Arabidopsis thaliana: one gene and its partners. The protein of the gene in region 3 interacts with the protein of the main gene of each other region in a pairwise test. Each region holds a gene or a part of one and is shown on either strand. Other genes may lie near its edges.

Region 1 (4,864 bases), on a different chromosome or scaffold from region 3:
GTAAGATTTTAGGATATCTTCATTTTGAAACCATGGTTACATGACAAGTTTTGATAATCTTTTACCTTTCACGTTCTTTTCAGAGCAACGGTATCGGTGATCACTTATAACGGATATTTCCAGGAGTATACGCTAAGTATCAATAACAAGAATGAGTCTCTATGGACACTGGAACGTGAATTCAATCTCTTCTCCATAACCACCGGGTGATGTATACAACCAAATATCAAATATATGAAAGTACTGGGCAACTTTTTTGTATGTAACAATTTTTGTACCTTGGGTTCATTAAGAATATGTTTATAGTCTCATGTTCTTTGGTTATTCGCAAATATAATTAGCTCTTCCGTGCTATTACTGTATCTTAATCTTGATTTGTGTTGAAGAAATGAAATACAAAATGGTTTCCCAACTCTTTCCATCATATCCCACTTACTCCATAGTTACAGTCAAGGCTCTTTAGCTATGAATCAGAATTTTCAAGTCAGGATCATTTGTCGGTCTAATGGCTCACAAGTCATAACATCATCATAATCCAAAGAGCAAAAGTCTTTTATCTTATGAGAATTCACTGTATCCTACTCAAGACTATTAGTCTACTTCATCTTAACACATCCATTAAGTCAAAATAGTGTAAAGACAGGTACATTACAAAGTCAAGAGTATTTACCCATTGATTTGCATTTTGTATGTTTGAAGAAAGATTTGCTAATTGTGTTTGCTAAAGATGAATGTTTAAGACATTCATCGAGATCTTGTCTTAACGACTTGTCCTCTAGAAGCTTTTCTCTCCATCTTCTCCCTCTTTTTGCGAGTCTTCTCATCCTCAACACCTCCCTAAGTTCAGTCATATAGACAAAACACAGTCCATTTTAAATGATCATGTTTTATTTCCCCCTTGTTCAAAGCACTTTGAGAGTATTCAAGACAAAGTGATTACCTCTGAACCATGTGACAATAGTCCCTTAATAAGACCAGAAGCTTTGTATGCTCCAAATGCAGGGATCTAAAATAAAAACAAGCAAAAGTAAATGGTTGCATCATTCCTACAGAGCAAATCTGTTGTTTGCCTTAAAATATGGCAATAAAGAAAATTGAGATGGGTATCATACCACTAAATACGCGTACCAAAACTTTCCAGAGATGATAGATCCGACCTGCACAAAGCAGGTGATGTAGAGTACATCATGCAAATATCTGCAAGGAAGAATAGAGCATCAGGCTTATACTATAGAATCTACCATAAATCCAATCCACCATAAAGATGACGATTATGTAGCAACTGATAAACGATAAAACTCGGAGAAAGCCACAACTAGTAAAACATCACTCATTTCAAACAACTGATAATGAAACAGTCCTCCTACTATTGCTTTTGGTTATGGAAACAGAATCCAACTATACAGAAACACTTGAGACAAAAGCAGGCACTTTCTAGTTGATCAATTTAAAAGACAAATCTTTCCGAACGTACCCACACATTCCAGGAGTGCTCATGTCAAATCCACCATCAAGAAGTTCACCAGCATCACTAACACTAGGCTTTGCCATTTGATGAAGAAGCTTATATGGAATCCCGTAACCTAACGATGTTAACACAAGACCAATCCAATTTTTCCAGGTATGACTTGAATGCGAAATTATAACCCTCACTAGGACATACAAAATCTGCAAACACATATTGCCAAAAACATCAATCCTCGAATTCATCGAAACAAAATCAGCTAAACATTGAAACTTTCGAGACCTAAAGATCAAATTCAACGGATTTTTAGTTCCATATTGATACAAGTAACGTATCTAAACAAATCTAAGCTCAACGGATTAATGTATTGAGAATTTAAGAAATGAGGAACGAGGAAGTTACGTTGCAAAGGATCATAATGAGACGGAGCTTAGCCATGTGTCGAGCGTTCTCATCTTTCCTCTTCTTTGCTCCTTGATTCGCCATGAGTTAAAAGAGAATGATCAAAGAGACGAGGAAGATAGTTTTTTCAGTTTCTGTAATTCTTCTTTTGCTTTGGATCTTCACAAATGGTGTGAGAGAAAACTTTTAGGTGTCTAAGCTTGTTTAATCCAATTATATATTGACACCTGTACCTTTTTGTCGTCCTCTTTTCTCAAATACTTTTTTCACGCAGGAAATGTTTTGTTTGGCTGCGTGTCGTAATTACGCTTTTCCTTGGGTTTAGGACAAAGATTCTTAATTTGGGCTTTCGTCTATCCTTATCAGTTGTTGTTGGAAAACTGAAACAGTTCTATCTAAATGGGCCAGAACAACCTAAAAGGCCCATAAAATCTGACATCTTAAGGCCTATCAACAGAAAACTGCATTATTTCAGTTTTCCAATAACAAGGTCTGTGTGAAAATCACCGGCGCTCGGAGAAGACATCAACATAAAACCTTTTACCGCTGTTCCAAAAACTAAAAAGTATACCATTTCTATGATCAATCGGTAAAACGATATTTATAACGGAACAAGAACAAAAGTAGTGTAAATTTTTTTCCCTGTTTTATGTTGTTCTATAGACAAAAAAAAATGAAGATATCATATCTTGTGGGCCTATATCCAATATTTGAGTGTAGCCCATATTTGGATCAAACATCACGTCTTACACAATGGTTCTCGGATATCCCAATCTGAGTATGGTTTTAGGTCAATTCAACATAGTATTATTTTGTCAACAAGCACCATTATAGCAAAAACAAAGATGTATCAAAGAAAAGTAGCGTTAGGGGTTGGTCAGAAAAAGACATGTTTGCAGTGTAAGAAATGACGTGGACACGTGGAATCATACGCAATGCAACATGTCATCATTAAGGTCCATTGTTCAACTTACCCATTGAGAACAAAACTAGAAAAATTATAGACCGTTGGATCATCTTTAAGGACCATGTCTGATTCACGTATCTCTCTCCCACTTGGAATATGCTTAGCCTATGTATGGGACACATTCGCTAGGTCCACCAGTATCCTGTACGCAAACGCAACATCGAGAAGCTTCCGTTTCCAATATTCTATACTATAATTACAAATGTTAAAAATTGTTTATAAAATTTGTAATTTGACTTGTAGACATCATTAGGGTAAAGATATATCAAGAAATTACTTTTTTCATAGGAATAAAAATAGTCAACTCTCTTAAATAAGGGACAAATACAATCCTCTAATGACCTGGAAAACAACTATGCAATCAACATTAACAAATGTAATTAGAAGTACAACACAATCAATTTTGGTTAAAAAATTGAAAGTATATAAAAATAAAAAAATAAAAAACGTGTCTTAGTTGATAAATAACTCATTAATCACGCCTCTATCTCTCTGTTTTAAGAGTTTAACAGTTAAAGATCTTCTTCTCTATCTTCCTTATTTGACTACATCTCCGTTTATTCTTGGGTCTCTCTCTATCTCTCTTATCCAGATTTATCATCGTCATTACATATAAACATCAAACTTAACTTTTCAATATTCTCATTCACTTTTTCCTCTTGTGCTCTAATTCTTATCCGGATCCGATTTCTCTCATACAAAGATTCTGTTTTTCTTCTTGGGTTATTGTTCTTGCTCTGTTTCCGTATCTCAAAGTTTCAGCTGCTGAATTGAATTTGCATTGATCGTAGATGAGACCAATCATTAGGTTATCATCTCTCAGTAGAATTAGATGGGCTCTAAGGAACAATCAAGAACGTTATTCTTCAACTTTCTACTCCAAAAGCCGCAAACTTTTGATCGGTGTCAATCAAAATCAAGCTCTGCTGAATACAAACACTGATAATTCAAGTTTGTATTCAAGGTCAAGTATCTTTAGAGGCTTATCAGCAGAAGCAGTAGAAGCAGCTGATCCTGCTACTACTAGGGTCACCGTCTCAGGTTTTGTTTCTCTTTGCAAAGAAATTCTATCAATCTCAGAGTTCGTGTTTATTGGTTTGCTGATATTTGTTGAATGATGACAGATGTGAATAGAACAGGTCCTCTTGTTGAGTATGAGAGAAGAATCAGTAATGGTGAACTCATGACTGGTGATATCTGCCAAGTATGATAAAAATAATAGCCACTCTTTTTTACTTCATTGAAGCTTTTGAGCTATAAGATTAAATGTGATTCGTGTTACTTGCGGCTTAAGGTTGTGTTTGAAATGTTGTAGATTAGTGCATTGAGAGAGCTTCAGAGACTATATGATGAGCTTGTGGATTCAGTAGATACATGTCGTTTAGATCGGTATAATACTTCTGATAAATCCTCAAGGTGATTGTTCTGTTCTCTTAGCCTTGACACCTTTCCTTCTCTGTTTAGGATTGAGAACTTGAGTCTCACACAACTGTGTTTTTGTGTAATACAGAAGTCGTTGGTTTTGGTCTCGGCTCATGCCACAGACTTCTTACTCACCCGTCAAAGGATTATACCTTTATGGAGGTGTAGGTACAGGAAAAACCATGTTGATGGACTTATTCTTTGATCAACTGTAAGTTTGTATGATCAAATTCTTATCCTTTTTTTTCGAGCATTGCGGTTTCATGACAATTCTCTTGTTTCATTAGGCCTTGTACTTGGAAGAAGCAGAGGATACATTTCCATGATTTCATGTTGAGTGTTCATAGCCGCTTGCAAGTATGGATAATTGAGTTTCCATTGTTTCTCTATTGATTTTAGTAGGAAAAGCTTTAGCCTTTTGAGATACGTTGTTTGATTTCGGTTCATAATGTTTGCAGAAGCACAAGGGTTTATCAGATCCACTTGAAGTTGTTGCCCAAGAGATAGCTCATGATGCAATCTTACTATGTCTAGATGAGTTCATGGTATGTACACTATTTCATATATTTATTTTCTTGAAAGTGATCATCTTTGGATCAACACATCTT
Region 2 (5,040 bases), on a different chromosome or scaffold from region 3:
CTTAAACCCTAACGGAGCAACACGGGTTTAATCGGATTAACCCATGAATGGTGTACAGATACAAAAGATTTCCTCAGAGTCCGCAAAAGTAGAACTTTTTCCCAGAGAAACTGATACTGGAGAATAAATTCGAAGACTTTTGGTGAAATTTGAGGATTTGGGCTAATTTGTGAGAGCCACGGCTTCGTTACTTGCTTAGGTTAGTAGTTATTGATTTGATAAATCTTTAAAACAAATCTCCATCTTACACGGGCCTGTCTAGGTTTTGCTCCGCTTATTCCAAAACTTTGTCTTTTCTTCTACAACGCTTCGCTTGAACACACTCTCTGGTCAAATTCAGTTTCCTCAGTTTCTCTTCTTTAACCGGCTCTAGATAATATTTACTAATTGACCCCACAAGTTCTCTTAAACTACGATTTTGCACTATACTTTATAATAAATCTAGATTAACCAAATTGACATTATTCATTGCCATTGGACATTGGTTCTCCGAATTTGGATTACACAAATCAGTGAAAAATGTACTTGTGCTGTTCGAATCCGAATTTGGATTACACAAATCAGTGAAAATGCACTTCTGCTGTTCGAATATTCATTTCTCTTTCAATCGTAACTTTCCGTTGATCGATTTGGCTAATATTAGTTTTTCAGCCTTTAAGGCACCTACACGGCCGGTTACTAGATAAGTTTGGTTCAACCAAAAGCCTTAATCCACCTACTTGACCGGCCTGCTACAAAGTCAACTTGGGATGCAACCAGTAATCTTCAGTAATTTAGAGCAAGAAACTAGAGCAGATTTCTCAAGTTTTATTCCATTAACCGAAACACCAACATGAAAAGTATACACTTAGATATTCTGTATTAAACAACGGGAATGATCTTTCTTTATTGAGTATGTGACGATACCTCTTTTTTCATGATCTAAACACAACACACACTCTTCACACACTAGTTTCGAGTTTCATCAAAGTTGAGAAGAGTTATCTGCAATAGCCCCAGCTTCAGTAAGTAGAGGCACAAGCTTGCCTTGCTTGTTGGTCTCCATCACTCCTGCAAAATATAGAAGCAACACGAAAAACGCAGTTAGTTTTTCCGGCAACCCGAATTTCCATTATTGTGCAGAGAATTTGTGTAGGTTTTTCACTTACTATCGCATCCACCGATGTGGTTTCCTTTGATGAAGACGTTTGGAACTGTGGTCTGTCCAGTCCACTCTGATAAAGCTGATTGGATCTCACCTCCATCACCTGAAGTAAACATAGCATCGAGATAATTCAGGTTCATTGAGATATATTAATATACAGGTATTGACAGGGATTTGGTTTCATACTCATTTCATCGAGCTCAAGTACTTTAAAAGTTGCTCCTAGCTGCGTCAGTAACTGCTTCACCCTCTGGCAATAACCACAGTATGTCTTGCTGCGAAAGAGAAAATATGGATCAGAGCTAAGACATTACATTTGAAAAGTAACCTTTAGACCATCTCAAAAAGTGGAAAGAAATACGTTCCTTTTAAGACTAAGCAAAATCAAACTCAAGACTCTAAGCAACAACAAATTAAGCTTCATTTCAAAACTCCGAAAGGCATCCCCAAATCAGTCATAGGAGCTTGCACGGATCAATCTTCAAAAACTCTAGCTTCTTCAAAGATTTCTAGACTAGTCAGAATCAAATTTGAGAACTGGATCTATCAGTATATATTACATGATCACATCCCTAATCGTCTAGGGAACCCACAAATAATCTCTGAATTGGATGGAGAATCACTAATATAAGATGATGTTCGATCTTTCATTCACGACCTAATTTCACAGATGGAAACAACAAAACAAGCAGACAATGATCCATTGGTGCCTCTGCGTCAAATAGAAGCAGACTCTACCCCCTGATGGTAAAGACTCAAACTTTTTGACTAATTCAAAACCCCTCAAGGCAACAACATCCAATTTTCTCAACAAATTCATAATCACGAACGAAAAGAGTAATACCCAGATGAAAAAGATGGGAGATTTCAACGAGAACAAACCTGAAGACAACAACGGGATAAGCAGAGACGATCTCTTTAGCCTTGTTCACCACCACCTCCATCTCTTCCTTGCTCATTCGGTTTCCACTGAACATTGAACCCATTTCTTCTTCTCTTAACCAAAGACGACCACGACACAACTCCTACAGATGTCCTCTGCTCGAGTTTTGTGCCAATCTTGCTGGCAAATGAAGTTTTTATCTCTTTCAATCAAACCTCAGTCAATATTTATTAAAGAGTTATTTGCGTTGAAAAAAAGTTATCTTTCTGAAATGATACTCTTTTAGTCTTTTTTCGTAGAAATTTCTCTTTTCAGAATATTGTTTAAAGTTTACAATAGCGACGACTTTAGAGTTTGGATTATTGTCAATTTTCACAACTCAGCAGCTCTTATCCTTTTTCTTCTTCTAGTTCTCTGCCACAAGTTTACTTCTTCTTTTGTGTAAACGCAGGATGGGAGGTTGTGTCTCTGTATCAATATCATGTGATCAGTTGACGAAGAATGTTTGTAGTTGCTTAAACAGGAATGGAGATTACATTCATGGCTTAGAGGAGAATCTGACAGCTCTGCAGAGAGCTCTTGAGCAGATTGAGCAAAGACGAGAAGATTTGTTGAGAAAGATTTTGTCTGAAGAAAGACGAGGTTTACAACGACTTTCTGTTGTGCAAGGATGGGTTTCAAAAGTTGAAGCAATAGTACCTCGAGTTAACGAACTCGTCAGAATGAGATCTGTTCAAGTCCAAAGGTTGTGTCTTTGTGGGTTTTGTTCCAAGAATCTTGTCTCAAGCTACCGTTATGGGAAGAGAGTAATGAAGATGATAGAGGAAGTTGAGGTTCTTCGATATCAGGGAGATTTCGCTGTGGTGGCTGAGAGAGTTGATGCAGCAAGAGTGGAAGAGAGGCCTACTAGACCTATGGTTGCTATGGATCCAATGCTTGAGAGTGCGTGGAACCGTCTAATGGAAGATGAGATTGGGATTCTTGGTCTTCATGGTATGGGTGGAGTAGGTAAAACTACACTTCTCAGTCATATCAACAATAGATTCTCTAGAGTTGGGGGCGAGTTTGATATTGTGATTTGGATTGTGGTCTCCAAAGAGTTACAGATCCAGAGGATCCAAGATGAGATATGGGAGAAGTTACGGTCTGATAACGAGAAGTGGAAACAGAAAACAGAGGACATAAAAGCATCTAACATTTACAATGTGTTAAAGCACAAAAGGTTTGTCTTGTTATTGGATGACATATGGAGTAAAGTGGATTTAACAGAGGTGGGAGTTCCGTTTCCGAGTAGAGAAAACGGATGCAAAATAGTATTCACCACTCGGTTGAAAGAAATCTGCGGGCGGATGGGAGTTGATAGCGATATGGAAGTCCGGTGTTTAGCCCCGGATGATGCGTGGGATTTGTTTACTAAGAAAGTAGGAGAGATCACATTAGGGAGCCACCCTGAGATTCCCACAGTCGCAAGAACAGTTGCTAAGAAATGTCGCGGCCTACCATTGGCCCTTAACGTCATTGGTGAAACAATGGCATATAAAAGGACAGTGCAAGAATGGCGTTCAGCAATCGACGTTTTGACTTCATCTGCAGCTGAGTTTTCAGGTATGGAAGATGAGATTCTACCTATTCTAAAGTACAGCTATGATAATTTAAAAAGTGAACAGCTCAAATTGTGCTTCCAGTACTGTGCTTTGTTTCCAGAAGATCATAACATTGAGAAAAATGATTTGGTAGATTACTGGATAGGTGAGGGATTCATAGATAGAAACAAAGGTAAAGCTGAGAACCAAGGTTATGAAATTATCGGTATTCTAGTTCGTTCATGCTTATTGATGGAGGAGAATCAAGAAACGGTGAAGATGCATGATGTGGTCCGAGAAATGGCATTGTGGATAGCATCTGATTTTGGAAAGCAAAAAGAAAACTTTATAGTGCAAGCGGGCTTACAGTCGAGGAACATACCTGAGATCGAGAAGTGGAAAGTTGCGAGAAGGGTGTCATTGATGTTTAACAACATTGAAAGTATACGTGATGCTCCTGAATCTCCCCAACTTATAACTTTGCTCCTCCGAAAGAACTTCTTGGGGCATATCTCAAGCAGCTTCTTTCGGTTGATGCCAATGCTAGTTGTTCTTGATCTATCAATGAACAGGGATCTCAGACATTTGCCAAATGAAATATCAGAATGTGTCTCATTGCAGTATCTGAGCTTATCACGTACAAGGATAAGGATTTGGCCTGCTGGTTTAGTAGAGTTGAGGAAACTTTTATACCTGAATTTGGAGTACACAAGGATGGTAGAGAGTATCTGTGGCATATCAGGTTTAACAAGTTTGAAAGTGTTGAGATTATTTGTTTCCGGTTTCCCTGAAGATCCCTGTGTTTTGAACGAGTTGCAGCTTTTGGAAAACTTGCAAACTTTAACCATAACTCTTGGTCTTGCTTCTATTTTGGAACAATTCCTTAGCAACCAGAGGTTGGCAAGCTGTACACGAGCTCTGCGCATCGAGAATCTTAATCCGCAATCATCTGTAATCTCATTTGTTGCTACTATGGACAGTCTTCAAGAGCTTCATTTTGCAGACTCTGACATTTGGGAGATCAAGGTAAAGAGGAATGAGACGGTTTTGCCTCTGCACATCCCAACCACTACCACATTCTTCCCAAACCTCTCGCAAGTGTCTTTAGAATTCTGCACAAGATTGCGGGATTTGACGTGGCTGATCTTTGCTCCAAATCTTACGGTTCTACGAGTAATTTCAGCGAGTGACCTGAAAGAAGTAATAAACAAAGAGAAAGCTGAGCAGCAAAACCTTATTCCCTTCCAAGAACTAAAAGAGTTGCGGCTAGAAAATGTTCAGATGCTAAAACACATCCACCGGGGTCCCCTGCCATTTCCCTGTTTACAGAAAATTTTGGTTAATGGATGCTCAGAGCTGAGAAAACTTCCACTCAATTTCACGAGTGTCCCAAGAGGTGATCTTGTCATAGAGGCACATAAAAAATGGAT
Region 3 (4,484 bases):
CAGAAATGTATCTAACAGAGAAGAAGAAGAGAATGGAAGGATCTTTATATGGTGATCAATCTTTACCTGTTTATCGAACAAATGATTGTTTTTCTCTGTCTGCGCCAGTTTCTCCTGTTTCTTCTCCTCCTGAGTCCCGTAGACTTGAGAAAAGCTTGAGCATTGTAAGGAGCCGGCATGACAGTGCTAGGAGCTCAGAAGACGCAACCGAGAATATAGAGGAGCTAGAGATGTTGCTGGAAGCATACTTTGTTGTCATTGACAGCACTCTCAACAAGCTAACCTCGGTAACTAAAAACCTCGCCTTTGTGATCATTCATCATCTTGTTTTAACAGCTTTTAAAAGCGGTTTAATCACCTGCAACTCTCTTTACTCTTCAGTTAAAGGAGTACATCGATGATACCGAAGATTTCATCAACATTCAATTGGTATACCTTGAAATCTTGATCTTTTTTAGATATCTTATTTGCTTAGAAAACCTTAAGAATCTGCTGAAAATTTCTGGAATTTGCAGGATAACGTACGGAATCAGCTGATCCAATTCGAGCTGCTGCTAACTACTGCCACATTCGTTGTAGCCATCTTCGGGGTTGTAGCCGGGATCTTTGGGATGAATTTTGAGATAGACTTCTTTGAAAAGCCTGGTGCTTTCAAATGGGTTTTAGCCATTACTGGAGTGTGTGGCCTTGTTGTATTTTTGGCATTCCTCTGGTACTACAAACGTAGAAGACTCATGCCTCTGTGAAGACATAACTACCCTGACACGTAGACGATTGTTTTACTGTTTATGTTGCTTAAATCTATACATTAATCGCCTGTGACCTTTACAAGATAAAACCCCGTGTATTTTTTTTTTGGGTTACTGAAAGATTATTAAGCAAACCATACCAGACTCATCTTGATCTTTCACTTTATGGATTGTCCTAGTCGAAACTCACAGCTCACACAACAGTATCGTAAAGGATGAATCCTTTAACTTATCGCAAATTTACATATCTTCGATAAAGAAACCTAAGTGTAGAGTGTAAAGATACATATCTGAACTGAACCACACTCTAGAACAGACATGGCTGAGTTTATAGACATGGAAACGATGATGTATGGATCCATTCACAAAATGTAGTTGACTAGAGTCTCCATCCAAGTGGGGGGAGATGACTACTTATCCGAGGATGAAGATGATGAGAGACGAGCTTTTCGAGCTTTATCAGCTTTTTCCAAGTAATCTTGGTGAGAACGATGCTTTGATCCTGAAACAAACCAGATTTACCAAACAACAAAAGCCAATAAGAGAAACAATTAGCCTATATAATGAACAAAACAAGGAGAATATTACCAAATGTCACATATAGCAAATAAGATATTTAACCATTGAGATTATGCAATTGAATCGATGTGTGATCATCAGGGGAAAAAGCAAACAAACTTGGTAAAAAATGTGATCATGCAAGTCTATTATGATCCAAACAGAATAAACATTGTGACTCATCATTATCATATAATCAAACTCTATTTGATCGACCACTTGATTGCATTTGCCAAGAAATATAAAGTTAGAAACTTTAGATTCTAAATCTTTCAGCTATTGATATCATCATCCTCTTCCATTTCGGAATCTACAGAGAAACATCTATTTATATATTTCAATCTAAATCGCCCAGAGAAAACGAACCTTGATTCATTAGATACCAAGGGATTCCGAAGATGATGGAGATAATCCCGATCCCAGCCAAAACGTGCTTCTTCTCCCCACTGTAGACATAGTGCTCCATCTTTGCCCTAATTCCTCCTCCTCCCAAATTGCTCTTGCTCTCATTTCCCATCTCGATCTCCACAGGTTTTGCTTCTTCTTCTTCTTCTTCTTCTTCTTCTTCTTCTTCTTCTTCTTCTTCTAGGGTTTATCAGGAATTAGATCCCTCTCTCTCTCGGATCTTTTAAAGAAATCTAAAATGGGCCCTATTTAGGCCCATTCATATTAGTGTTACTTTGTTTATTACCATATTAGACCCCATATTATCTATATATTCGTTTTTGACCCCATTAACTTCATATCCTCATCCCATTAAGACCATGTTTGAAATGTATTAATTTAAGCCTTCTCACTCACTCGCTATGGCCGCGATCGTTGCCATTGGTAGGAAACTCGCGCGAACGCCACAATGGCGGATTGTTCAGCATCAATCTCTGCTACGTCGTGCAGTGTCGACGTCGTTTTCGAGCTCAGTTTCCCAAAATCATTCCTTCTCTTCAGCATTTCATCGAGCAGGTCATGTGCATTCTCAAGTTTTAAGCTATCTCCCACATTTTGCCTCTTCTAATCGCTTCTCCACCAAAACCATCTCCGAAACATTTGATATCAACTTAACAGCATTGGCTCCGTTAGAAAAGGGTCTGATTGATTTAATCAGACAGGTCTCTGAGCTGGAGTCAGAGGCGGATGCCATGGCTTCTCTGGAGGACTCATCATTTGATCTAAATCATGATTCTTTCTACTCCTTAATCTGGGAATTAAGAGATGAATGGAGGCTTGCCTTTCTAGCATTCAAATGGGGAGAGAAACGCGGCTGTGATGATCAGAAATCTTGTGATTTGATGATCTGGGTGTTGGGTAATCATCAAAAGTTCAACATTGCTTGGTGTTTGATCCGTGATATGTTTAATGTTTCAAAGGATACTAGAAAGGCCATGTTTCTCATGATGGACAGGTTCGGTTTCGTCTTCTTGATAAAAGTTTCTCTTTTGTTGTGCTAAATTGAAAGATTTACTAGCTAGGTATTGAATTGGTTGTCTTGGTGACGGTGTTGATGTAGATATGCTGCTGCTAATGATACTAGCCAAGCTATTCGGACATTTGATATTATGGATAAGTTTAAACACACTCCTTATGATGAAGCATTTCAAGGATTGCTATGTGCATTGTGTAGACATGGCCACATTGAAAAAGCTGAAGAGTTCATGCTTGCAAGCAAAAAGCTCTTTCCGGTGGATGTTGAGGGATTCAACGTAATTCTTAATGGTTGGTGTAACATTTGGACTGATGTGACTGAAGCAAAGAGGATTTGGCGAGAGATGGGGAATTACTGTATCACGCCTAACAAGGACTCTTACAGTCACATGATCTCTTGCTTCTCTAAAGTTGGGAACCTTTTTGATTCTCTCAGGCTATACGATGAAATGAAGAAACGGGGATTGGCTCCAGGGATTGAAGTTTACAATTCCTTGGTTTATGTGTTGACCCGTGAGGATTGCTTTGATGAAGCTATGAAGCTTATGAAAAAGTTGAACGAGGAAGGATTAAAGCCAGATTCAGTGACCTACAACTCGATGATACGCCCCCTTTGTGAGGCTGGAAAGCTGGACGTAGCCAGGAATGTATTGGCAACCATGATTAGTGAGAACCTTAGTCCAACAGTTGATACATTTCATGCATTCCTTGAGGCTGTAAATTTCGAGAAAACTTTAGAGGTTTTAGGCCAAATGAAGATCTCTGATTTAGGTCCTACAGAAGAGACCTTTCTTCTTATTCTTGGAAAATTGTTCAAGGGAAAGCAACCAGAAAATGCTTTGAAGATCTGGGCAGAAATGGATCGTTTTGAGATAGTGGCTAATCCTGCTCTTTACTTGGCTACAATACAGGGCCTTTTGTCATGTGGGTGGCTTGAAAAGGCCAGAGAGATCTATTCAGAGATGAAATCAAAGGGGTTCGTAGGAAATCCTATGCTCCAGAAACTTCTTGAGGAGCAAAAGGTGAAGGGGGTCAGAAAAAGCAAGAGGATGAATCTTCAAAAAGTTGGTTCTCAGGAAGGCTACAAGGGTCAACGATCAGTAGACAGAAAATAATCAGATAGGGGTAAGACTTGAAGTTTCTCATCAAACGATCACTGAAATAATGACTCAATTCTCAAACCTCACGGTCTCCACTCTTTCACTACATCCGCCGTGCAGTTTTCCAGGTAATCTTTTCGTCAGTTTACTAGATTTGCTGATCGCTACCTTTGCATATTCCTAATATCAATGAATCTGCAAAACTAATCATTTGCAGCCATGCTGATTCAGGAATCTCTCTCCGGATTACATGATAGACGTTAAAAACTAGTGTGATTCTTGATTGTTACACGTCCACGCATCGCTGCACGTTCAAGTTACAAGAAGTTAAAGTTCAATGTGTTATGATATGAGCCAGACTGCAGAACAGGCAAAGGCTGAGCTCACTGTGTTTCCAAGGCAAGATCTTCAGAGCTCTCTCATAGTCTATTTGTGTCCTTTTCTGTATTCTTTTGTCCTTGGACTTCATTTTCTTATATAATATTTTTGTATTCTGTGACTCGTGAACCAATGATGAATGTTATGGCCTTGGATTCTTTTATGTGTTGCAATTTTTTCATGCCACATTTCAAGGAACCATCAGTTTACTCCATCAAGAGTATGGAAAACATCGAAAAACCTTTTAAATATTGATATATAAATTAGTATAAACTAAAAA
Region 4 (8,805 bases), about 27 Mb from region 3:
GAAAGCACTGAGCAGAGCCAAGAGTCGGGGGTTTTCAGACGTTCTTTATCTCGACTCTGTCAAGAAGAAGTACTTAGAGGAGGCTTCTTCTTGCAACGTCTTTGTTGTCAAGGTAAGATATATTGTGGTGTCTCCATGTCTCTTTGTTGCATCCTAATTGTATCATTGATTCAGGGTCGGACAATCTCAACTCCTGCAACTAATGGAACAATTCTTGAAGGGATTACGCGGAAAAGTGTGATGGAGATCGCAAGTGATCAAGGTTATCAGGTAACACAGATAAGATTGAATCACTCTAAACACCCAAAAACTAAACTCAGCTAAGTTTCACACCTGAGTTATGATCAGGTAGTAGAGAAGGCAGTTCATGTGGATGAAGTAATGGATGCAGATGAAGTTTTTTGCACCGGAACTGCTGTAGTAGTTGCTCCCGTGGGCACTATCACATATCAGGAAAAAAGGTAAATCTCAATGCCTGAATCAAGTTTTACTCAAGCCTTAAGCAAAGAAATGGACTGATGTAATCTTTCTGAAACATTCAGAGTAGAGTATAAAACCGGGGATGAATCTGTCTGCCAGAAACTGCGTTCAGTCCTCGTAGGTATCCAGACAGGATTGATTGAAGATAACAAGGGATGGGTCACAGATATCAACTGAAGAATAACAATCTTCAATATTTTGCCACAAAGGAGATTACTCTGCATTTTAAGCTGTGTATACACGACAATGAAGAACACTATAAACATATATATGAGATAGAAACAGAAAGCTCTTTTGCTCATTTCTATATCGTAAAGTCAATGTCTTTCACAAAACTATGACAAAGAAAAGAATCGTCTATTGTACTTGTAGACAAGTGTTTCCAAGGATAGTTTCATTTCCTCCTGCAGTAACTCCAAATTTACATTTCATTTTAGGAGGCAAAACTGTATATACGTTTCAATGGCTTTCCCCACTTCTTACTTTCATCACCCATAAGGGTTTCAACTACTAAAATTGTAACTCAACTGCAAAAACACCTTTTCATCTGCAGAGTTATAAAGTATACATTGTAACTCAAGTATCTATGTTCGTTTGTAGATCTCGGCAAACCCTGGGGAATTACGAATTGGGGAAGCACTGGGACAGGATTTCACCTCAAGATCAAGACCAGATTTACTTCTCTGGAACTCCCATATGTAATCAGCTTTAAGATTCTCTTTCTCAGGCTTCAACTCTTCAGAATCTGGTAACTCCTGATCTGAGCAAGGAGAAGTGCAACCAGCTTTGCTGGATTCTTCAGAACACGTTGGTATCTGAGAGTATGCAACTTTCAAGTTGTTATGTATCTCTTCCATCTTTCCTGTCATCTCATCTGCTCTGTCCATAGCGATAAGAATCTGAAAGAAACTCATACATCAATATCTCTCAGGAGATGCAAATCGAGGTTATGAAAAGATGAGTAATATATATATATATGTATATATACCTCGGCTGGATATTTCTGGAATATGGGCGCAAACCTTTGCCGGCAATACTCACTAAATAGAAGAGTGAGAAGGATTAACGGGATGGTGAAACCTGAAGCAACCGTTGATAGCTTTAACCCGAAAAAGCCTAGAGCTATAACTTGCGACAAGATCAGTGAAAAGATTGTAGTGTTGTGAAAAACAGGCCAATATTGTCCACCGCTTTCATACTTTGTAATATAGACGTTGATTATCTGCAAAAAAAAAAAAAAAGACAAACTTAGTCAGATCCAAATAATTGTACTTCAAACTCACAGACTTGTCTACCTATGGCACCACTATTAGTCGATTAGCACAAATACATTAATCATATTTCCAGAAGCAAGCACTCAACGAATGCAGGGACAATCAGACAACACCTTATGCAGTTCTCAAAGTTATAAGGTAAAGCTTCAGATAGATCATGAGAACAGCTGGTAACTTAATGCAAGGTCTCGACGACAATGTTTCAGTACAGAGTTCTTGGAATTTAGTTACAAATCTTTCAAGAAAATAAAATAATACTCTTTCATGCTTCTGAATCAGGTTTCATATCAAATTGTGAAAAAGTCCAAAAACATTTGATCATGGATATAGGTGTCTATGTCACAATTTCTTGAAGTGCTTATTGGCAACTACAAAATGAGGTCTATGTAGAAGAGATCAGAGCAGATATGCACGTACCTGATTTTTGTATATAAGATATGCGAAGAAAAAGTAGATCAGCAGAAACGGCAGTATCAGAGGCGCTATGACTGAATTGGTGAAACCCAGGAGCCCGAACAAAAGTAGTCTTGGAATTTCTGTATGGTAGGGAAACCTAAGTGTTTCATATGACTCCTCCTTGTTCTTAACAATAACTTTTGCAATCAGATTCCAAATAAGACCTACAGGTTGCATGATTTCACATGCCAAACCGGCCCAACCAGACGTGAAACAATAGGTCATGAAGAAGCCAGCCTGCATGTAGTCAATGAATAATTTCATACCGTTAGCCTTATAGAAAATAACAAAATTGAATATAGTCACACGTGTGAAAGGAACACTGAAAATTACCTGTGCTGGAACAAGTTTCGCAAGTTGTGCAGGTACGTCCCTCACACTATTCAAGACGGTAAACTGCCTGATAACAGAGCCTGATAGAATATTGACGAAGAACACATTCCAGATGGTGAAGTATAAAATTTTGAGACATGCACTTTTTTTTCTTTGACTCCGAGAAACACATCCCTCCAAGGTTGAAAAGTACATCATCAATGGCGGAACGGTATAAAAGAATAGAACCAAAATCACACTTGGTAAATACCCTGTGATGACCTGCTCCATAAACCTCCTGCAATGTTTTTCAAAGGGATAATTAAATTGAAAGGAAATGAAAAGAAATCAATTACACAGAATTTAATTGTTCTCAGTTTTTTACTGCGCTTAAATCTAGAAAAATCTAGCATAAATATATCAACTGCCTAGCAGCCTCCGACTATACGCATCTTGAAATTCTCTAAAAGCAACGTAGCTACACCTACTCTTTAGTGCCAACTCTATGTCATCTTAAGAAGAATACGAACAAAACCTTCTATTACTGAGTACAAGAAGGAAATGCTGACCTGTTCAAGAGGTCTTTTAGAAAAGGAAAATTCTTGGATAACGTTGGTAGTTGAGTCAGCCCTTGAACAAAGGTAACAGGAAAAAGAAACACAAACATGAAGGCAATTGCACCAACAAGGGTTGCTATTCTTCGCATCCAAAGCTGCCGATAAGGTATTCTGAGATTTCTCCAGTGAACATCATGAGGCTCTGGAGCCAAGTCTGCCACCCATAACATAGGATTTGGTGTTTGAAGAACTTCTGAAACAACAAGAGCATCATAACGACTCTTGAAAAACACAAAAGCAACGGGACGTTCCTGCAAATGAGCAGAAAAGTGTAAGCCTTGCATACATATTTCAGGCGCTGATACTTCATTAAGCAATGTTTACAAATGCAGTCATGAATGGAGATATATTCCTTTTAGATCTAGCTTTTAAAGGTTTTAAACAAAAAGCTCTTTGTATCACTAATTCAAGGTCCATTAACGTCTCATTGTAGTATTTTTTGGGTTCCCCTAAGTCTCAGTGTTACCTCTAAAGCTCAATTTGTATCTCAGTAAAGAACAAAAGAGTCAATTCTCCAGTTTCAGCTGTAAAACTGTGAAGACATGCAACAGGTAAAACCCCACACTATGCCTATATCATGTACAGCACAAAGTTCACCTATCAAAGTGAAAATAATTCCTTACTTCCTCTGTCGTAGTCAAAGTCAACTCACCAAGCTCCAATCCTTTGACACTGTCTGTCTCGTTCGAGATGATTTGAAAAGAATTTGTGGCTGCAGGTCCACAAAGGACGCATGACTTCAAACTCGGATTACAACTTAAATCAGGAGAAACATGTTTTATAGCCTGACACATCCTCTCCGTCTCATTCTAAAATAGAAAGTGACACAATTAATATTAGAATCTAATTAACTCAATTGTTCTCCAAAATAGACCACTGCACTTCAACTATATGTTATCATGAGCACACACCATCCACTAGTTGTTTACCAAAGATATTGCCATTCAAAATGCTGATCAGATAACCAAAGCAAAAAACTGATGTAATATCAAAAGAACCTCAATATCAGATAACATGAACTACAAATAAAAGCGTTACAAATGAGCCAAAAACAAAATCAGTACTCCAAGAATGTGGATCAATCATATAATCCCCTTAGAACTTCCTATATCTTTAACTGATACATGACTATCAATCAAATCTTTACAACAAAGTTACTGTTCTGTTATTTCATCAATCTTTGATGCCCTTGGCAAATGAAGAAGCATTTATGACAGAACACAGGGGAAGTGTTATGGTGAACATTTTATAAAGAAAGAAGAAACATGTAAAGTGTGAAAAGTGTTAAATCACATTCCGGAACATAGAGCTATCACAGCTTCCTTTTTCTATTCTAGGAGATTCCTATTCTGCTAAGGTCAACCAAGCAGAGCGGCAGTGGTGTTAGCTGAAAAATTTATTCCTAATCCGACAAAATCATAACAAAAAGACAAGTGACTGATAATCAAGTCAGCATGTTGCAAAAATAAATAAAAACACATACCATCAGTCTGTGAATGAAGCCATCACGGTAGACCATTAGGTGCGACACATAGCTTGGTGCATAGTAATTTGTAAAGTATTTGCTCACTGTCTCGCTGTAGGACTGGTCAGGAGACTGAGGAATAGCACGAATAAGAACAGTAAAATGACTTGGCTTTGAGGCAGATCCACTAATATGGGCAAGCCTCTTTTTGGCTATGTTCTTATACTCCTACAGTGGTGAAACACGTATAAACAGGGTGAGAGAGAGAGACGAGAGACCAAAACGATGAGGAAGTGATGGAATAAAGAGAAACAGTAAGCGTGAAATGAACCAAGGTATAAGATCCTCACAAAGTAAAGAAGAGCACATGCTGCAGAGGATATGATGTACAATGAGAGACAATGAACCCAGAGCCTGGAAATAAAAATAGTAAAACAAGGATCAGCACTTCATTGTACAAAATACTGGCAATCTATCTTCTCCTGCACAGAGAAACATAATCAGATAGAAAAACAGGCTATGCATATTATCTGATAATATTAATATTATATGCCGCCACTTTACCATCGTGAGCGTGGATTAAGGTTCTCAATTGTGAATACTCCCAATGACTCCAAATGGACTTCCTTGTGCTCCATCTTTTGTCCATAATAGTTAACAGGTAACACAAAGGCAAGGCAAACGACTGCGACGATTGAGAAAATACGAATGCTGCAGAGTTTAAAAAAAACACGATAACCCAACTGTGAGAGTTGTTAAGAACGAAACACACAAATACCACATAGAAATAAAACAAGTGCTGGAACATAGAAACAGTAGAAAATACCATGCTTGTCTATTCAATTACAGTAAGCATGTTATAGGTGAAGTATCATTAACCTGCAAATGACCATCCTGATGAAAACCACAGCATCCAGACCAGCAGCAGCCAACATCTCTTCCTCAGTGGTTTCCCAAGCTTTCACGAGCCAACTAGGAGAGGGCGCGAACCTCTCATACCAACGAGGATCATGACGTTTAACTCTTCCGTCAGAAAGCAATCGACCAAAGTAAACACAATAATTGGCTGGCTGCTTTCGTAGAATGGAATAAAGCGATACAAGCACTACGCATATCGCTATATTAATCCCAGCAGACGTTAAAAGTGCTGAGACATCCATCTCACTATCTCACTTTTAGTTCAAACCCTGCCTTAACAGGGTTGGCTAATCAAGCCCAGGCTGATGGCTGTTTAACAATTCACAGCAGAAACTTAGGTCGTCAAAAGATCTGTAAGGAAAAGCAAGAAATAATCTAGGATAAGAGATATGGCCATGAAGCATGTGGTAACATTGAAACATGAATTGTGGTTACTCTAACAAGTAAGGACTGATCTCAAAAGTTGCATAAGTAACGTACTTGCCACTTGATCAGTTGTAAAACAGCGATTACTTAGACAAGGGATGAAAAAACTAAAAACCTAAAACTTTCCATGTTCGGAACAACCAAAGATACGGGATCAAAATATAATCAACTCTTAAAAGTTGTGGCTGATGATAAGATAATGTAACTCAATCGTCATTTATGATTGAACTAAAACGACCCACGATTCCATAGAACCTAAGAAAACCAGAACACCAAAAACAGAGGAATCAAAGGATTTGATTCGCGAAGAGAACTCACTACGACAATGGAAACAAGAAAGCGAGCGAAACCAAAGCCCAGATTATGAAATTCGATCAAAATCGAAGAGGAGATTGAGGAGAATCAACAAACAACGAGATCGTAGATAATTCGAACAAAAAATTTACCCACAAAAGAAAAGACAAAACAATAATTTGAACAATTCTGACTTACATGGACGAGAAAAGGTAATGCTTTGCTTTGACTTGAAAGGAATCAAAGCACGAGAAAACCCGAAGAATCAAAAACCCTAAAAGTTCTTCCTTTTAACCCCAATTCCGCGGAGAATTCGCTCGCGTTCTAAACTTTGCAATATGCAAAAAATCCAACAAAATTAAAGAAAGATAATGATTGATTAGGTATACTGTATACACATTACATGTTATTATTTTGGTGAGGATATTTCTCTAGACGGAAAGATAACTGAAAAAAATCATTGGGCAAAATTCTCCACGTTGGTGTAAATGTGGAATCGCCAGATCATGTGACGTGGCATAACGTGAATGGCCCAAACTAATATCTCGTCGGCAAAGGTCTTTTTAGCCTGTGATAGTGACTACCTTGTCGGCGAAATTATGACCGTTAGATTTTTGTAAAGCGATACGATTGTGACACGTGGAATTAACATTGACAGTTAACAACAGTTTTTGCCCGGGAAAATTAAAAAAGGTCGCATATCTATTATCCGCGTGGTGAGAGTGTGAGACCTACCCCATAACAAGGACCGGTCATATTAAATTATGCCCATTTGACTATTCATTCTCTTTATTATGTATGACTATATAATAACTCGATTCTCTTTATTAGGTGTGACTATGAATTATGATACATGCTTTATGATGCGGTATGCATATAACTGGTTTAGCATCTTTACATAATTATCGGTTTGATATTCCCAACGGTCAGTATCTTTATTCAAAGCTCATAAGAAATAGGTAAAAGAGTGATAGGTTTCCTCTTTCCAGTTTATTTGTGAGATTACTTGCTTATAAAGCAAATAAGCCTCTCTGTATATTCATCAACAAGGACTAGTCTGCAATCACAAGTAAAAACAACGCTGCTCGAGGACGGAATCGCTGCCCCACGATGTGGTAGAGTGCATCCTAGAGAGACTTGCTGTGGATTCTCTGCTGAGATTCAAAGGCCGTGTCTAAACAATGGAAATCAATTATCGAATCTCCATTCTTCCAACAAAGACAGTTGACAGAGCGTCAGCAATCAGGTGATCCAGATGTTCTCATGGTCTCCATATGGCGTTCCCTTTGATAGCTGTGACGGTCTCGTTTGTCTCATGGTCTCCATATGGCGTGACGATTATTGTAAACCGGATATAAAACATCTAACTACACTGGTGTTGGGTTCCTCATCATCGGTCAAGATCCCTACTCCTTGGGAGAAGGCGAAGGAGGACACAATATACTTAGTTCCCTTTGATAGCTGTGACGGTCTCGTTTGTCTCTACGGAATACGACATATCTGGTTTTGGAAGCTTATATAACCTTCATTCATTTTTTTAATAGGTTTGGTTACACCACTCGAAGACTCGTGTAACACTTGATGACAGAGATTTCTCGGCCAACTTCTTCATTAATCAACTCATTAAGCTATATCGGCGAAAATAGAAAAAAAAAAAAAAAAAAAAAAAAAAAAAAACAATTCAAACAGATCCTGAGACATGGTTTGACACCAATTTATGGAGGGTCTTCAGACATTCACCAAATGATGCAGAAGCGAGGGTCTCTCTTGAGCAATTGTGTTCAGTACACACTTCACTTTCTCTGTTCCAAGCTTCTCCTCGAGCATTCTCCACAGTACTGGAATGCTCTGCTTATAAACGAATGCATATCAGAAATCAAAGTCAACCATATTTCTATCGTTCTGCTATACGGAAAACTCCCAATCTATTTTTCTGCACTTGTGAGATTGACAATAGTGGCAATTTTTTTGATGACTTTATTTGGACAAGAAGAGACCACTGTTACCTTTGTCAGCCATAGCGTGTAGACAGCAGCATGCAATGCTTGAGCTTGAAAATCTTCAAATTTGGTATCCGGAACGGTCATAGAAGAATCTAGAAGACGGATCTCATTATCAATGAAGATGGCAATTTCTTCATTCATAATAATACTCTCTCCGGTTTCAGGTGAAGCATCTGAATGATTGCAAGCGAAATACATTATCCAATTAAGAGAGAGGAACCGCCGGTGAAGCCATAGTGCCTGGAAGAAAAAAGTATAACAACTCAAATAAGTCACTAATTCAATCATCTCTGTATTAGCATGACAACAAACTGTTTAACTATCTTTGTTGTCCAAACCACTGTCGCCATGATAGCTTACCAAGAGAGAAATTATGTACTTTTTGCAAAATCCAACTTGGTTGTTTCTTTAATAGGGCAGTTTACAAAATTCAACTTGGTCAAACTCTTCTACCGGTCATGCGCATTGTAGAATATTTTAGACTTTTAGTACCTTTTACAACAATACAACACAGCTATCGGTGCTAGATCTTCATACCGTGCCCATCTCTACACTAATTA

The links.
Region 1: the proteins of AT1G80890 (region 3) and AT4G30500 interact in a protein complementation assay, tested with the Arabidopsis thaliana proteins (one large-scale study listed by BioGRID).
Region 2: the proteins of AT1G80890 (region 3) and GRXC1 interact in a protein complementation assay, tested with the Arabidopsis thaliana proteins (one large-scale study listed by BioGRID).
Region 4: the proteins of AT1G80890 (region 3) and AT1G10090 interact in a protein complementation assay, tested with the Arabidopsis thaliana proteins (one large-scale study listed by BioGRID).

The regions. Positions count from the first base shown.
Region 1 is NC_003075.7:14,900,645-14,905,508, reverse strand, and holds AT4G30500 (transmembrane protein (DUF788)), read right to left. Parts: upstream 2,159-4,864; 5' UTR 1,952-2,158; coding exon 1,868-1,951; intron 1,669-1,867; coding exon 1,475-1,668; intron 1,198-1,474; coding exon 1,113-1,197; intron 1,007-1,112; coding exon 941-1,006; intron 838-940; coding exon 745-837; 3' UTR 501-744; downstream 1-500. Other genes in the region: ATG18B (autophagy 18 B-like protein), read left to right, coding at 84-210; AT4G30490 (AFG1-like ATPase family protein), read left to right, coding at 3,626-3,875, 3,959-4,038, 4,150-4,250, 4,345-4,467, 4,544-4,613, 4,715-4,801.
Region 2 is NC_003076.8:25,283,442-25,288,481, reverse strand, and holds GRXC1 (Thioredoxin superfamily protein), read right to left. Parts: upstream 2,306-5,040; 5' UTR 2,131-2,305; coding exon 2,027-2,130; intron 1,420-2,026; coding exon 1,331-1,419; intron 1,248-1,330; coding exon 1,149-1,247; intron 1,051-1,148; coding exon 965-1,050; 3' UTR 788-964; downstream 1-787. Other genes in the region: AT5G63020 (Disease resistance protein (CC-NBS-LRR class) family), read left to right, coding at 2,480-5,040. UniProt on the Arabidopsis thaliana protein: Has a glutathione-disulfide oxidoreductase activity in the presence of NADPH and glutathione reductase. Reduces low molecular weight disulfides and proteins.
Region 3 is NC_003070.9:30,394,551-30,399,034, reverse strand, and holds AT1G80890 (GAG1At protein), read right to left. Parts: upstream 1,908-4,484; 5' UTR 1,825-1,907; coding exon 1,674-1,824; exon of another isoform or gene 1,252-1,673; coding exon 1,160-1,251; 3' UTR 825-1,159; downstream 1-824. Other genes in the region: MGT1 (magnesium transporter 1), read left to right, coding at 1-287, 382-429, 516-746; AT1G80880 (Tetratricopeptide repeat (TPR)-like superfamily protein), read left to right, coding at 2,114-2,706, 2,812-3,841.
Region 4 is NC_003070.9:3,289,508-3,298,312, forward strand, and holds AT1G10090 (Early-responsive to dehydration stress protein (ERD4)), read right to left. Parts: upstream 6,692-8,805; 5' UTR 6,441-6,691; intron 5,874-6,440; 5' UTR 5,765-5,873; coding exon 5,484-5,764; intron 5,316-5,483; coding exon 5,169-5,315; intron 5,019-5,168; coding exon 4,955-5,018; intron 4,833-4,954; coding exon 4,623-4,832; intron 3,949-4,622; coding exon 3,763-3,948; intron 3,391-3,762; coding exon 3,092-3,390; intron 2,821-3,091; coding exon 2,544-2,820; intron 2,448-2,543; coding exon 2,172-2,447; intron 1,703-2,171; coding exon 1,469-1,702; intron 1,380-1,468; coding exon 1,065-1,379; 3' UTR 804-1,064; downstream 1-803. Other genes in the region: BCAT-2 (branched-chain amino acid transaminase 2), read left to right, coding at 1-112, 175-270, 349-461, 543-657; AT1G10095 (Protein prenylyltransferase superfamily protein), read right to left, coding at 7,971-8,090, 8,249-8,485. UniProt on the Arabidopsis thaliana protein: Acts as an osmosensitive calcium-permeable cation channel.